Sus scrofa: one gene and its partners. The protein of the gene in region 1 interacts with the protein of each later gene in a pairwise test. Links are inferred from orthologs where the notes say so. Each region holds a gene or a part of one and is shown in the gene's direction. Other genes may lie near its edges. The genes, in order: GRB7, KCTD6 and LAX1.

Region 1 (3,299 bases):
CAGTATGTGGCCGATGTGAACGAGTCCAATGTGTACGTGGTGACCCAGGGCCGCAAGCTGTACGGGATGCCCACGGACTTCGGCTTCTGCATCAAGGTGAAGAGTGTGGCCTGGCCTGGCAGGGAGTGGGAGCTGCTCAGGCTTGGGGAACCTAGCTGGGGCTTCTGAGCTCCCTCGGGGACACCCAGACCCCTCTCCCTGCTCCCTGCCCTACCCCACGGAGACAGGAAATGATACCTGGTCTAGGCAGATGTGGGACCAGCCAGTTTCCTCTCCCCACGGAGACAGGAAACGATACCTGGTCTAGGCAGATGTGGGACCAGCCAGTTTCCTCTCCCCACAGCCAAACAAGCTTCGAAATGGCCACAAGGGCCTTCGCATCTTCTGCAGCGAGGACGAGCAGAGCCGTACCTGCTGGTTAGCTGCCTTCCGCCTCTTCAAGGTGAGATCCTGGCCTGGGCCCATCTCAGGATCCCTGGTGTCAGGCAGGAGTTATAGCTTTGCCCTCAGGAAGTCTCTAGAAGGAGGGGGCATCACAGCCTTGCTCTCTTGGAATTTGGTCTGGAGTTCCTGTTGCAGCTTAGTGGGTTAAGACCCTGGCATAGCGTCTGTGAGGATGCATCCTTCCTTAGTAGGTTAAGGATCCAGTGTTGCCGAAAACTGCAGTGTAGGTCAGATCCGGCATGGCTGTGGCTGTGGTGTAGGCTGGCAGCTACAGCTCCAATTCGACCCCTAGCCTAGAAACTTCCATATGCCACAAGCGCGGCTGTAAAAGGAAAAAAAGAATCCTTGGTCCAAAGCTGGAGTCACAGCTCTGGTTTAGGAAGCCCCTTATCCAGGGGCAGAGATAGAGACCTGCCCTTGGGAAGACCTGGTCTGGGGGGTGTCATGGCCCAGCCCCCCCATCACCTCGTTCTCTCTCCATCCCCCAGTATGGGGTGCAGCTGTATAAGAATTACCAGCAGGCACAGTCCCGCCACCTGCGCCCGTCCTGTGCAGGTTCCCCACCCTTGGTGAGTGAGCACAGGGGTGTTAGCGGGGGATGGGTCGGGGGAGGCACCCAAGCCCTGTGCCAGGAATAGTCTGGTCCTGTTCTGCCCCTCCACCCACCCCATCCTCTCCCACCTGCAGAGGAGCGTCTCGGACAACACGCTGGTGGCCATGGACTTCTCCGGCCATGCTGGTCGTGTCATCGAGAACCCCCGGGAGGCTCTGAGTGCCGCCCTGGAGGAGGCCCAGGCCTGGAGGGTGAGGGTTTGCATTCATCTGCATGTCGATCCTGGGAACTGCTCCCCACACGAGGTTCCATGGAGTGGGAAGATGAAAGGGAGGGCCGGGGGGTGGGGGGCAGCTTCAGAAGGAGGGCTCTGTATCCCTGAGGGGCCGCTGATCCCCCAGCCACGCCCTGACCCCTTGTGTCCCCCACTGTGTTGCAGAAGAAGACGAACCACCGCCTCAGCCTGCCCACCCCATCCTCAGGCACGAGCCTCAGTGCAGGTGGGTGAGGGCCCAGCGTCCCCAGGGGTGGGGCTGCCGTGGCTTCTCTGAGCGCCCCCAGTGGGGGTGGTTAGAACGAGGGTCCCTGCCCCGGAGTGACCGTCCATCTGCCTCCCTTCACCCCAGCCATCCACCGCACCCAGCCTTGGTTCCATGGACGCATTTCCCGCGAGGAGAGCCAGCGGCTCATCGGGCAGCAGGGCCTGGTAGACGGGTAAGGGGCAGTGCTGGGCCGGGCAGAGACCTCAGTCGAAGTGGCAGCCCTGTGTCTTTGGGTCATGGTGCCCTGTCTCCTGGCAGCCTGTTCCTGGTCCGAGAGAGTCAGCGGAACCCACAGGGCTTTGTCCTCTCTCTGTGCCACGTGCAGAAAGTCAAGCATTACCTTATCCTGCCAGTGAGTAGTCCCGGGTTCCTGCAGTGGAGACACAGGACTGCCAGCACCCTGTCCTCCTCTCAGGCCCTCTCAAGAGGCATCCCCTCCCTGCCCCCCACCCCACCCCCCACCCCCGGGTCTGGGATCTCCTGTTCTTTGCTTTCTCCTGCGAAAGCACTGGGGGACTTCAGCCCTGGCCCAGGAGGGAGCTCCCGCAGCCTGGCGCCCCTCCCTGACCTGCCACCCCTCTGGCCGCTCACCCCAGAGCGAGGAGGAGGGTCGCCTTTACTTCAGCATGGACGACGGCCAGACTCGCTTCACCGACCTGCTGCAGCTCGTGGAGTTCCACCAGCTGAACCGCGGCATCCTGCCCTGCTTGCTGCGCCACTGCTGCACCCGTGTAGCCCTCTGAGCACCAGGCAGGCGGGCCCGCGCCTCAGCCACTCCAGGCCACACGCCGCCACCCCTCCGCATATAGGATGGACCCGGAGCATGAAGAAGGCAGGGACAGGCTCACCGTGAAGACCCAGGACCTGGGTGTTCTCTGCTCCTTGCCTCTTTCAGGCCGAAGTGCCCCCCGCCCCCAGCCCCTCGCCTCATCCACCCTCGCCTTCTCCTTAAGGGAGGGCCCTGGGGTGGACCCCTCCCCTTCACGGAGCTCCCGGGCACCGCTCTGGGGTAGGGCATTATGGGAGAGATGGGGGCAGCTCAGGTGGTCTTTAGGCCCCACACTTTGTACAGACCGAGAGGCCAGTTGATCTTCTCTGTTTTATACTAGTGACAATAAAGATTATTTTTTGGTACAGCTGTGAGTTTTTTTCTGGCACCACCTGGCTAGGCCGGAGCAGAGAGGGGAAGAGGGCAGAGGGGGAGGGGAAAGGTCGGCCCCAGTTAAGGCCCTGCGAAGGTGTCGGATGGATTGAGGCTGCCTACCGGCCGGGCTGGATGTTTCTTGAGGTGCTTCTGGCTGTCTGCCAGTCTCTGGTGCCCAGCATGGAGCCTGACCCAGAGTCGATGTCCAAGAATTGCTCGTTGAATGAATGGAGGCATTCCTGTCGTGGCTCAGCTGAAACGAATCTGACTGGCATCCATGAGACGCAGGTTTGATCCCTGGGCCTCGCTCAGTGGGTTAAGGATCCAGCACTGCTGTGGCTGTGCCGTTGGCTGGCAGCTACAGCTCCGATTTGACCCCTAGTCTGGGAACTTCCATATGCCGAAGGTGCCGCCCTAAAAAGACAACAAAAAAAGACTGAATGGACAAGGCACTCTCATCCGGGTGCGATTTCCTGATGGGACCCAAAGCTACAGAGGGCGCTCTAACAGAGCCTGGGAGTTGGCGAGCATCCAGATCCTCAGCACCTCCTGGGCTGGGTGGGATAATGAGTCCTGACAAAGACACAGGCGCTGTCCACCAGCTACAAGTCAGCGA
Region 2 (3,647 bases), on another chromosome or scaffold:
CCAGATCTTTGCCTTGTAGCAGGTTTTAGTTGAGCAAAAATGAGTAGTTTTCTGGTGTTTGGCCTACTCTGTTGGGTGAGAAAACCTTTCTTCTCTGTTTTCATGGTTACATGCTCTATCACATGTCTTTTTCTCTTCCCCAAGTTTCCCTGGAACCTGGGCTCCCCGAGACGCAGCACTGGAGCAGATGGATAATGGAGACTGGGGCTATATGGTGAGAGGCTTTTGCAGATGCATTCTGAAGTCTGGCAAATTATTTTTTGTGTCTTTTCCCCCTATGTAATATATTCTTAGGTATATTTCATAAGAATGAAAATTATAAGTGATGTAACTCTCCCAATTAATTTAGATGCATTTGGGGGGTGTTTTTATTTTGTTCAGTGTTTTTAGGTAAGCAAGCTAAACATGGAGTCTCTTTGTAACTTTTTATGACTTGTTTTTTCAGTCTTTATGTTGCTCCTAAAGCTCTTCCTTCATAGAATTGTAACTCTTCAGTGTCTAGTAGGTAACAAGAGAGGACAGGGAGTTCCTGTCGTGGTGCAGTGGTTAACGAATCCGACTAGGAACCATGAGGTTGGGGGTTTGGTCCCTGCCCTTGCTCAGTGGGTTAAGGATCCGGCATTGCCGTGAGCTGTGGTGTAGTTCGCAGACGCTGCTCGGATCCCACGTTGCTGTGGCCCTGGCGTAGGCCAGTGGCTACAGTTCCGATTTGACCCCTAGCCTGGGAACCTCCATATGCCGAGGGAGCGGCCCAAAGAAATAGCAAAAAGACAAAAAAAAAAAAAAAGAAGAGAGGACATTTTCTTGTGGTTGGGGAGGTTGACAGTTGAGAAGGTGCCACTTCTTTCACGAGCACAGGTGCAGGTGTCCTCCTATTATTTGAAAATGTTTGTTAAGAAATATTTTACTTGCCGAGTACCTATCTTTACTTGTCTTATTTTATTTCTTACATGTGATTTCTAAAACCAAAGGTAGGTATTATTTAGAGAAGCTTGCTTTTCAAAATTAAAGGCCAGATTGCCACATTAATGTTACAAAAGTAAATACACTATCAGATGACGCAAGTTGAAAGCTGCTATTAGCTTTCGGCTATATGAGATTGTATCGACCAAACTGTGTATTTTAAACTCAGTGTTTGGTACTGTTATTTCCATGAAAAAGGAAGATGAAGTCTACACAAACTGGAAAAAAAAAAACCAAAAACCTCATGATTCCCCTGCCTTTTTTTTTTTTGGGAGGAAAAGACAAAGAAATACTGAATGTAGATGTCTTTATGTTATTAAATAATTTTGATTCTATTTTATATTAAATTGAATTAAGAAAAAAAGAAAGTCTCTTTTTTAAAAAATCAGAATAAAACTTAAATGAGTATATTTTAGTTTGGCCTTTCTCTTCCCATAATATACTCTGACCTGAAAACTTCTTCCAGTTACTGGATCTGAAATTAAATGGCTTTGGAAGCTGTGTCCTCCTTTCTCAGTGTAAGGCTTTGAAAAATTGGACTTACCCTTTTTTTCTGTTGGAAACAAATGTTAGATCCCTTCATCTGGGTAGGTTTCACACTAAAAGTAAAGCTATTTTGCCTCAGTGGATTGCTGTGTTCTAGTCTGAAAGAATCTGTTGCTTTTTTTGTTACCATTAATTTTCTTAATTTGTCAAAGTTAAGATTTAAAAAAAAAATTGAGATGACTGATCATTTTTTAAAAAATTTCAGATGACTGACCCAGTCACGTTAAATGTAGGTGGACACTTGTACACAACATCTCTCACCACGTTGACACGTTACCCGGATTCCATGCTTGGAGCTATGTTTGGGGGGGACTTCCCCACAGCTCGAGATCCTCAAGGCAATTACTTCATTGATCGAGATGGACCTCTTTTCCGATATGTCCTCAACTTCTTGAGAACTTCAGAGTTGACTTTACCCCTGGATTTTAAGGAATTTGATCTGCTTCGGAAAGAAGCAGACTTTTATCAGATTGAGCCCTTGATTCAGTGTCTCAATGACCCCAAGCCTTTGTATCCTATGGATACTTTTGAAGAAGTTGTGGAGTTATCTAGTACTCGGAAGCTTTCTAAGTATTCCAATCCAGTAGCTGTCATCATAACCCAGTTAACCATTACCACCAAGGTCCATTCCTTACTAGAAGGTATATCAAACTATTTTACGAAGTGGAATAAGCACATGATGGACACCAGAGATTGCCAGGTTTCCTTTACTTTTGGACCCTGTGATTATCACCAGGAAGTTTCTCTTCGAGTCCATCTGATGGAATACATTACAAAGCAAGGTTTCACAATCCGCAACACCCGAGTGCATCACATGAGTGAGCGGGCCAACGAGAACACAGTGGAGCACAACTGGACTTTCTGCAGGCTGGCCCGGAAGACCGATGACTGACCTTCAGCCTGGGAGAAGTTCCTACAAATGGACTCCCCAAGGAGATTGAAGAGGCTGTTTTTTGTTTGTTTGGTTTTTGTTTTTGTTTTTTAAATCACAGTGTGAGGATTTTTTTTTTTTTTTAATATTTGTATTTATTTGAAGGCATTGGGGACCAGCAGGAAGTTTTGTGCTTTAGCAGACTCCTCTTTGTGTGGTTCCCTTCACCCTGAGTATGCATGTGCCTGTTCAGAGCCTCCAGATACCTTTTTTATAAAAAGAAGTCTGAAAATCATTATGGTATATAATCTATCCTTAACAACCCTTTTTTTATTACAGTGCTAAGATGATTTCTGATTAAACAGTTTCTAACTCAACTAGAAGGCTAAAAATGCAGGAATGAAAGAAAAAACGGAGTACTCATGATGATGCCTTTGAGAAAAATCAGAACATCATATAGGGTGACCTAGTTTTCAAACCAATAAGCAGTATTGTAATATTAAACGAAAACTGTTCAATCATTTAAAAGTACTTGTTAAGTACTGCTTTTACAGTTATGACAACTGTTTCTTTCTATGCATATAAATCAAGCAACCAAATATCTGTAGCCATGGAAATGTCTGACTAGAAATATTTATATTGGATTCTGAATACAAAATGTCCCTGTGGTAGAAATCTTACTTCTTAGGCCTGGTAAGGTATAATTCCCAAGTGTACTGTCTACCAGGAAAACAAAAAACCAATAATAAAAAATGAAATGTGAAAATTAGGTTTGTATTTATTGATTATTATTAAAGGGAGAAAATAATATTCCTTATCTAAAATATGCATTGTTTGTTTTATGCCATAATAGATACTGCCCCGTGTTGGTGGTTCAGTGAACAATTCTTGCCACCCAATAAATACTGCCTGAGGTACATTAGTATTTGATGCTGGAGGACTCAGTGGAACTTTAGAATGCAGTTGATAGAATTCTCTGCTGTTGAAGTAGCGAATTTATGGAATTATTAGTTTTGTCTAAAAGAGTGCATATTTGGACAATGAACATATAGTTTGCCAAATTTCTTTTGAATAGGACTTGTTTTGAAGATTTGTAGATTTTTCTTTAGTGAGCCACCAATTGCCATTGCTCTGTGACCCTTATTCCAGCTCTATGGACAAACTTGACTCTTCGGCCCCACAAATGTATTTTATTGTTAAAGTTGTTTATTTCTGAGGAGAAGAAAACTGCAGTGAATGAAGGATCTGGCACAATTGGAGAGATATA
Region 3 (4,344 bases), on another chromosome or scaffold:
GGGCTGACATCTCAGGGAAGCCGGGCTGTCAGTGTCCACAGAGAAGATAAAAGAGGCAGATGACAGGGCATGGGCTGGCTTCCCTGCCGTCCAGCTGGGAATCCACTTCCTTGTGGAAAGTGAAGTCAGAGGATCTTCCTTCCTTCCTTCCTTCCTTCCTTTCTTTCTTTCTTTTTTTTTCTTCATAGTGCCATATCTGCGGCATATGAAGGTTCCCAGGCTAGGGGTCTAATAGCAGCTATAGCTGCCAGCCACAGCCACAGCCATGCCAGATCTGAGCCACGTCTGGTACCTACACCACAGCTCATAGCAACACCGGATCCTTAACCCACTGAGCGAGGCCAGGGATCAAACTCACAACCTCATCGTTTCTAGTCAGATTTGTTTCCGCTTCATCACGATGGAACTCCATCTTCTTCTTATTTTAATGGCCGTGCCAATGGCATATGGAAGTTGCTGGGCCAAGGTTTGAATCTGAGCCTCAGCTGTGACCTAAGCCACAACCGCAGCAATCCTGGATCCCTTAACCCACTTTACGGGACTGGGGATTGAAGCCATTGCTGCAGTCAGATACTTAACCCCCTGTGTCACAGCGGAAACTCCTAGAGGCTCTTCTCACCCCCTCAAAATAGTCTTTTCACACCCTTCTCCTTGGACTCTCCCAAGATGAAAGAGAGTGTCAGGAAATTGGTAAAAGGAAGAGGGGGAGGAAGCTAGAAAAAAGCTTTGAACAATCTTCAAAGTTTGGAGCACTTTGTGTAGACATAGCGTGGGGGCGGTGAATTTTCCAGCTTCTGAGACAGGTGCACAACCACCATCCTGGGATGGATCTTCTCTGAAAGAGCTCTGTGAGCAAGATGGCAGCAGCTACGGGCACGAGGGAGGCCCCCAAGGGCCCTGCTACCCCCATAGGAGCTCCATTGTGGCTCAGCAGTAACAAACCCGACTAATATCCACGAGGATGCTGGTTCAATCTCTGGCCCTGCTCAGTGGGTTAAGGATCCGGCATTGCTCTGAGCTGTGTAGGTCACAGAGGCAGCTTGTATCATGCATTGCTATGGCTGTAGCGTAGGCCGGCAGCTGTAGCTCTGATTAGACCCCTATGCCAGGGGTGCACCCCTAAAAAGACAAAGAAAGGAAGGAAGAAGGAGAGAGAGAGAGAGAAAGAAAGAAAAAGGAAAGGAAAAGAAAGGGAAGGGAAGGGAAGGGAAGGAAAGGAAAGGAAAGGAAAGGAAAGGAAAGGAAAGGAAAAGAAGCAGACCAGCTCGGTCAAAATCACCTGCGGTGTGTTTATGAAAACCACCCATCCCCCTCTGCACCCTCTACCCATGAATCAGCAGCAGGTGCCAGGGATCTGCGTTTGTTTCTAAAAAACACCTCCCAGTGCTCCTTAGACCTGCTTAAAGCACACAATGCAAATCTGGAGGCTTATAAAGCGCATAAATTCTCAGCAACCCCAGGTGAACAAATCGCAAACCCCACCACCTTGCCCCATCTTGAATCATGCTCCCCACAGACCACAGCCACCGGGAAGATGGGGCAGGCAAGTTTGCTTCTATCTTATTAAGAGCTGAGCAGCATTTCCTGGGCCCCAGGCTTCATTAGCACGTTGGTGGTGTTGCTTCCTGTAGCTGACTCTCTGTTTCCATTCTGGCAAACTGTTTGTTCTCTTCTCTTTGCTTTGGGGGTTGGGGGAAGATGAGCTTCTCACGGAACCTCTCTCCAGCTTCTCTTTCCCCCGCGGCACCCCTCATGCTCTGACGAGGCAGGGAACCCGGCTTCTCCCTGAGCAGCTGTGCTGGGGAGTCCACACCCGGATGAGCTCTCCCCTCTGGCATCGAAGACACATCCAGGTAGAACCAAACCTGTTTTGTATTTTGGGTCAGCTCAGCCTGACATTTCAGGAACAGACTCATGGTAAGGAGTTTGTTGGGGGAGAGAAAGTTCTAGATTGGAAGCTTTAGAAAGGAAGAAATAAAAACTAGTAGACTTTTTCTTGTGAGGGACTTTGATGAAGAAAATTTTAAGAAGAAATTTTGAGAGTAAAAAGTTGTACATTAGGGAGTGGGGTTTGTTTTGTTTTATTTTGTTGTGTCTTTTTAGGGCCGCAACCCCAGCATATGAGCCTCCCAGGCTAGGGGTCAAATCGGAGGTGTAGCTGCCAGCCTGCACCACAGCCACAGCAACACAGCATCTGAGCCGCATCTGCAAATTACACCACAGCTCACGTCAACACCGGATCCTCAAACGCACTGAGCGAGGCCAGGGATCTAACCCACATCCTCATGGATACTAGTTGGGTTTGTTTCCACTGAGCCGCAATGGAAACTCCTGCCATGCTTATCTACTAAAAATAAGTGGTTATACCACACAGGTATGTATGGAAAACACAAACCAATTCTGCCTTTTGTCCTGGGAGTCAGCAATTAAGGAAGAGCCAGGAAACGGGCAGACAGGCTGGCGAGCTAATGATGGTTGAGAGAAGGCTTGGAAGGAGAAGCTGAAGCCAGAGAGGGTCCGGGGATAATGGGCATGACCACGCCGGCCATCTCAGAGGTCAGAGGGAGGACCTCACAGCCCAGCACTCTACAGGGAACCCTCAGCACCCTGGACAGGTGAGTGGCCACGGTGGTGAGTGCTCCCCTCCGCTGATGTAGACAGAATGCCCTGCTTTACCCCAGCAGCGTGGCCAGCCTCACAACCAGGCTCGGGTCCCCAGAGACCACTTAATTCTAGGCTCAGCGGAGTTTGCTCAAAACCGCGGGGAGGAAAGGAATGGGCATTGAGGAGAAAAAGGCGTTGTTGGGGGAGAGGAACTGCGATAAGGCGGCGCTTCCTTAGAGCTGGCAGCCCTGGTTGAATTTCTCATGCTCAGAGGCCCGATGGCTGTCCTCTGTCTTCCTGCCCCAGGTCCCACCCATCACTCCTCAGAGAAACAAAAACAAAAACTAGTTCCCACCACGATGGACACAAAAGGCCCACTTTTTCCACAGATGTGTCTCTCGGTTCTAACATCTTGCTGTGACAGATGAAGCTATCTACAGAAAAAAAAACAAACTCATGGACACAGAGAACAGGCTTGGGGTTGCCAAGAGGGAGGAGGAGGGAGTGGGGTGGACTGCCAGCTTGGGGTGAGTAGATACAAAGTATTGCATTTGGAGTGGATACGCAATGAGATCCTGCTGTACAGCACAGGGAACTATATCCGATCACGTGTAGTAGAAGGTGACAGAGGGTAATATGAGAAAAAAAAAAATGTTTTTATACATATGACTGGGTCACTTTGCTGGACAGCAGACATTGACAGAACATTGTAAATCAACTATAACAAGATTTTTAAATAAAGAAAAACTTGCCATGAATAAACATGTAATCATAGGTATGCTAAAGATAGGTCTTTAGGACCTAGAATCTCACAGAACTCATTGTAGATATAAATTTTTATTGCCAAAGGCTTCCACACCGTATTAGCAAAAATAAAAAGTCCATCAGCTGCTGAAACTTTCACACTGGGAGGTATACATTTCTGCACTATGATAAGAGTACAATTTCTGTGCTATGATGAGAATACAGCAATAATATGTAATAATGTGATTTTAAATCACTGTCGTTTGGGGAGGTAATGTTATGACCCATGACAAACAAATACCCGTCACTGGCAGGTGGACAGGGGCACTGATGGGGAATGAATTCATAAAGTGTCAGAACCCTGCAGCGCCCCCCCCAGCTGTATTTTGTTATTCATTAATTTTTTTGCTAATTCATTCCTTCATTCAGTTAACAAATACTCATCAGGCCCCTACTGGCACTGCTCCAGGCACCAGATGAATAGGACAGACAAGTCCATGACCTCCTAGAGCTTACAGTCAAGTGGAAGAGTCAGATAGGAACAAAGGAACCCATGCACGGATCACATAATGTCAGCCAGCCATAAGTGCTATGAAGAAAAACCAAAGCAGACACAAGGGACTGAGAGTAGTAGGGTGTGGCCAGGGAGGATCAGTCTGAGGAGATGGCATTTCAGAAGAGACCTGAATGAAATGAGGGACTGAGCCATGGGAGAGGGAGTGGCAGGTCTGAGAGAGGACCGTGCTCTGCCAGGAAGAGCACGGAGGCCTGACCTTCGGGATCAGAGGGAAAGTGATAGGAAACAAGGCCAAAGGCAGCCAGAGGCCAGAACAGAAGATGCCATGATGTCCTCCTTGGGTAGGGACCATGGATGCCATCCCAAGTGTGACAGGCAATCATGGAAGTTTGCAAACAGAGGAGGAGCTCAATCTGGTTTACCATTTAGAGGCTCATGCTGGCTTGTGTGTGAAGATAGTTTGGGGCCAAGAATGAAAG

What was found.
Region 2: the proteins of GRB7 (region 1) and KCTD6 interact in binary tests that used the Homo sapiens proteins (3 or more experiments, as listed by UniProt). The two-hybrid records come from large-scale screens. The link is inferred for Sus scrofa from reciprocal best matches to the Homo sapiens genes GRB7 and KCTD6.
Region 3: the proteins of GRB7 (region 1) and LAX1 interact in binary tests that used the Homo sapiens proteins (3 or more experiments, as listed by UniProt). The two-hybrid records come from large-scale screens. The link is inferred for Sus scrofa from reciprocal best matches to the Homo sapiens genes GRB7 and LAX1.

The regions. Positions count from the first base shown.
Region 1 is NC_010454.4:22,573,955-22,577,253, reverse strand, and holds the end of GRB7 (growth factor receptor-bound protein 7), read left to right. Parts: coding exon 1-96; intron 97-343; coding exon 344-442; intron 443-932; coding exon 933-1,013; intron 1,014-1,131; coding exon 1,132-1,248; intron 1,249-1,436; coding exon 1,437-1,497; intron 1,498-1,623; coding exon 1,624-1,711; coding exon of another isoform or gene 1,712-1,715; exon of another isoform or gene 1,716-1,797; coding exon 1,798-2,392; 3' UTR 2,393-2,675; downstream 2,676-3,299. UniProt on the Homo sapiens protein: Adapter protein that interacts with the cytoplasmic domain of numerous receptor kinases and modulates down-stream signaling. Promotes activation of down-stream protein kinases, including STAT3, AKT1, MAPK1 and/or MAPK3. Promotes activation of HRAS.
Region 2 is NC_010455.5:40,216,943-40,220,589, forward strand, and holds the end of KCTD6 (BTB/POZ domain-containing protein KCTD6), read left to right. Parts: exon of another isoform or gene 1-144; 5' UTR 145-187; coding exon 188-214; intron 215-1,714; coding exon 1,715-2,401; 3' UTR 2,402-3,149; downstream 3,150-3,647. UniProt on the Homo sapiens protein: Probable substrate-specific adapter of a BCR (BTB-CUL3-RBX1) E3 ubiquitin-protein ligase complex mediating the ubiquitination and subsequent proteasomal degradation of target proteins.
Region 3 is NC_010451.4:64,459,066-64,463,409, forward strand, and holds the start of LAX1 (lymphocyte transmembrane adapter 1), read left to right. Parts: upstream 1-1,487; 5' UTR 1,488-1,917; intron 1,918-2,374; exon of another isoform or gene 2,375-2,423; 5' UTR 2,424-2,526; coding exon 2,527-2,615; intron 2,616-4,344. UniProt on the Homo sapiens protein: Negatively regulates TCR (T-cell antigen receptor)-mediated signaling in T-cells and BCR (B-cell antigen receptor)-mediated signaling in B-cells.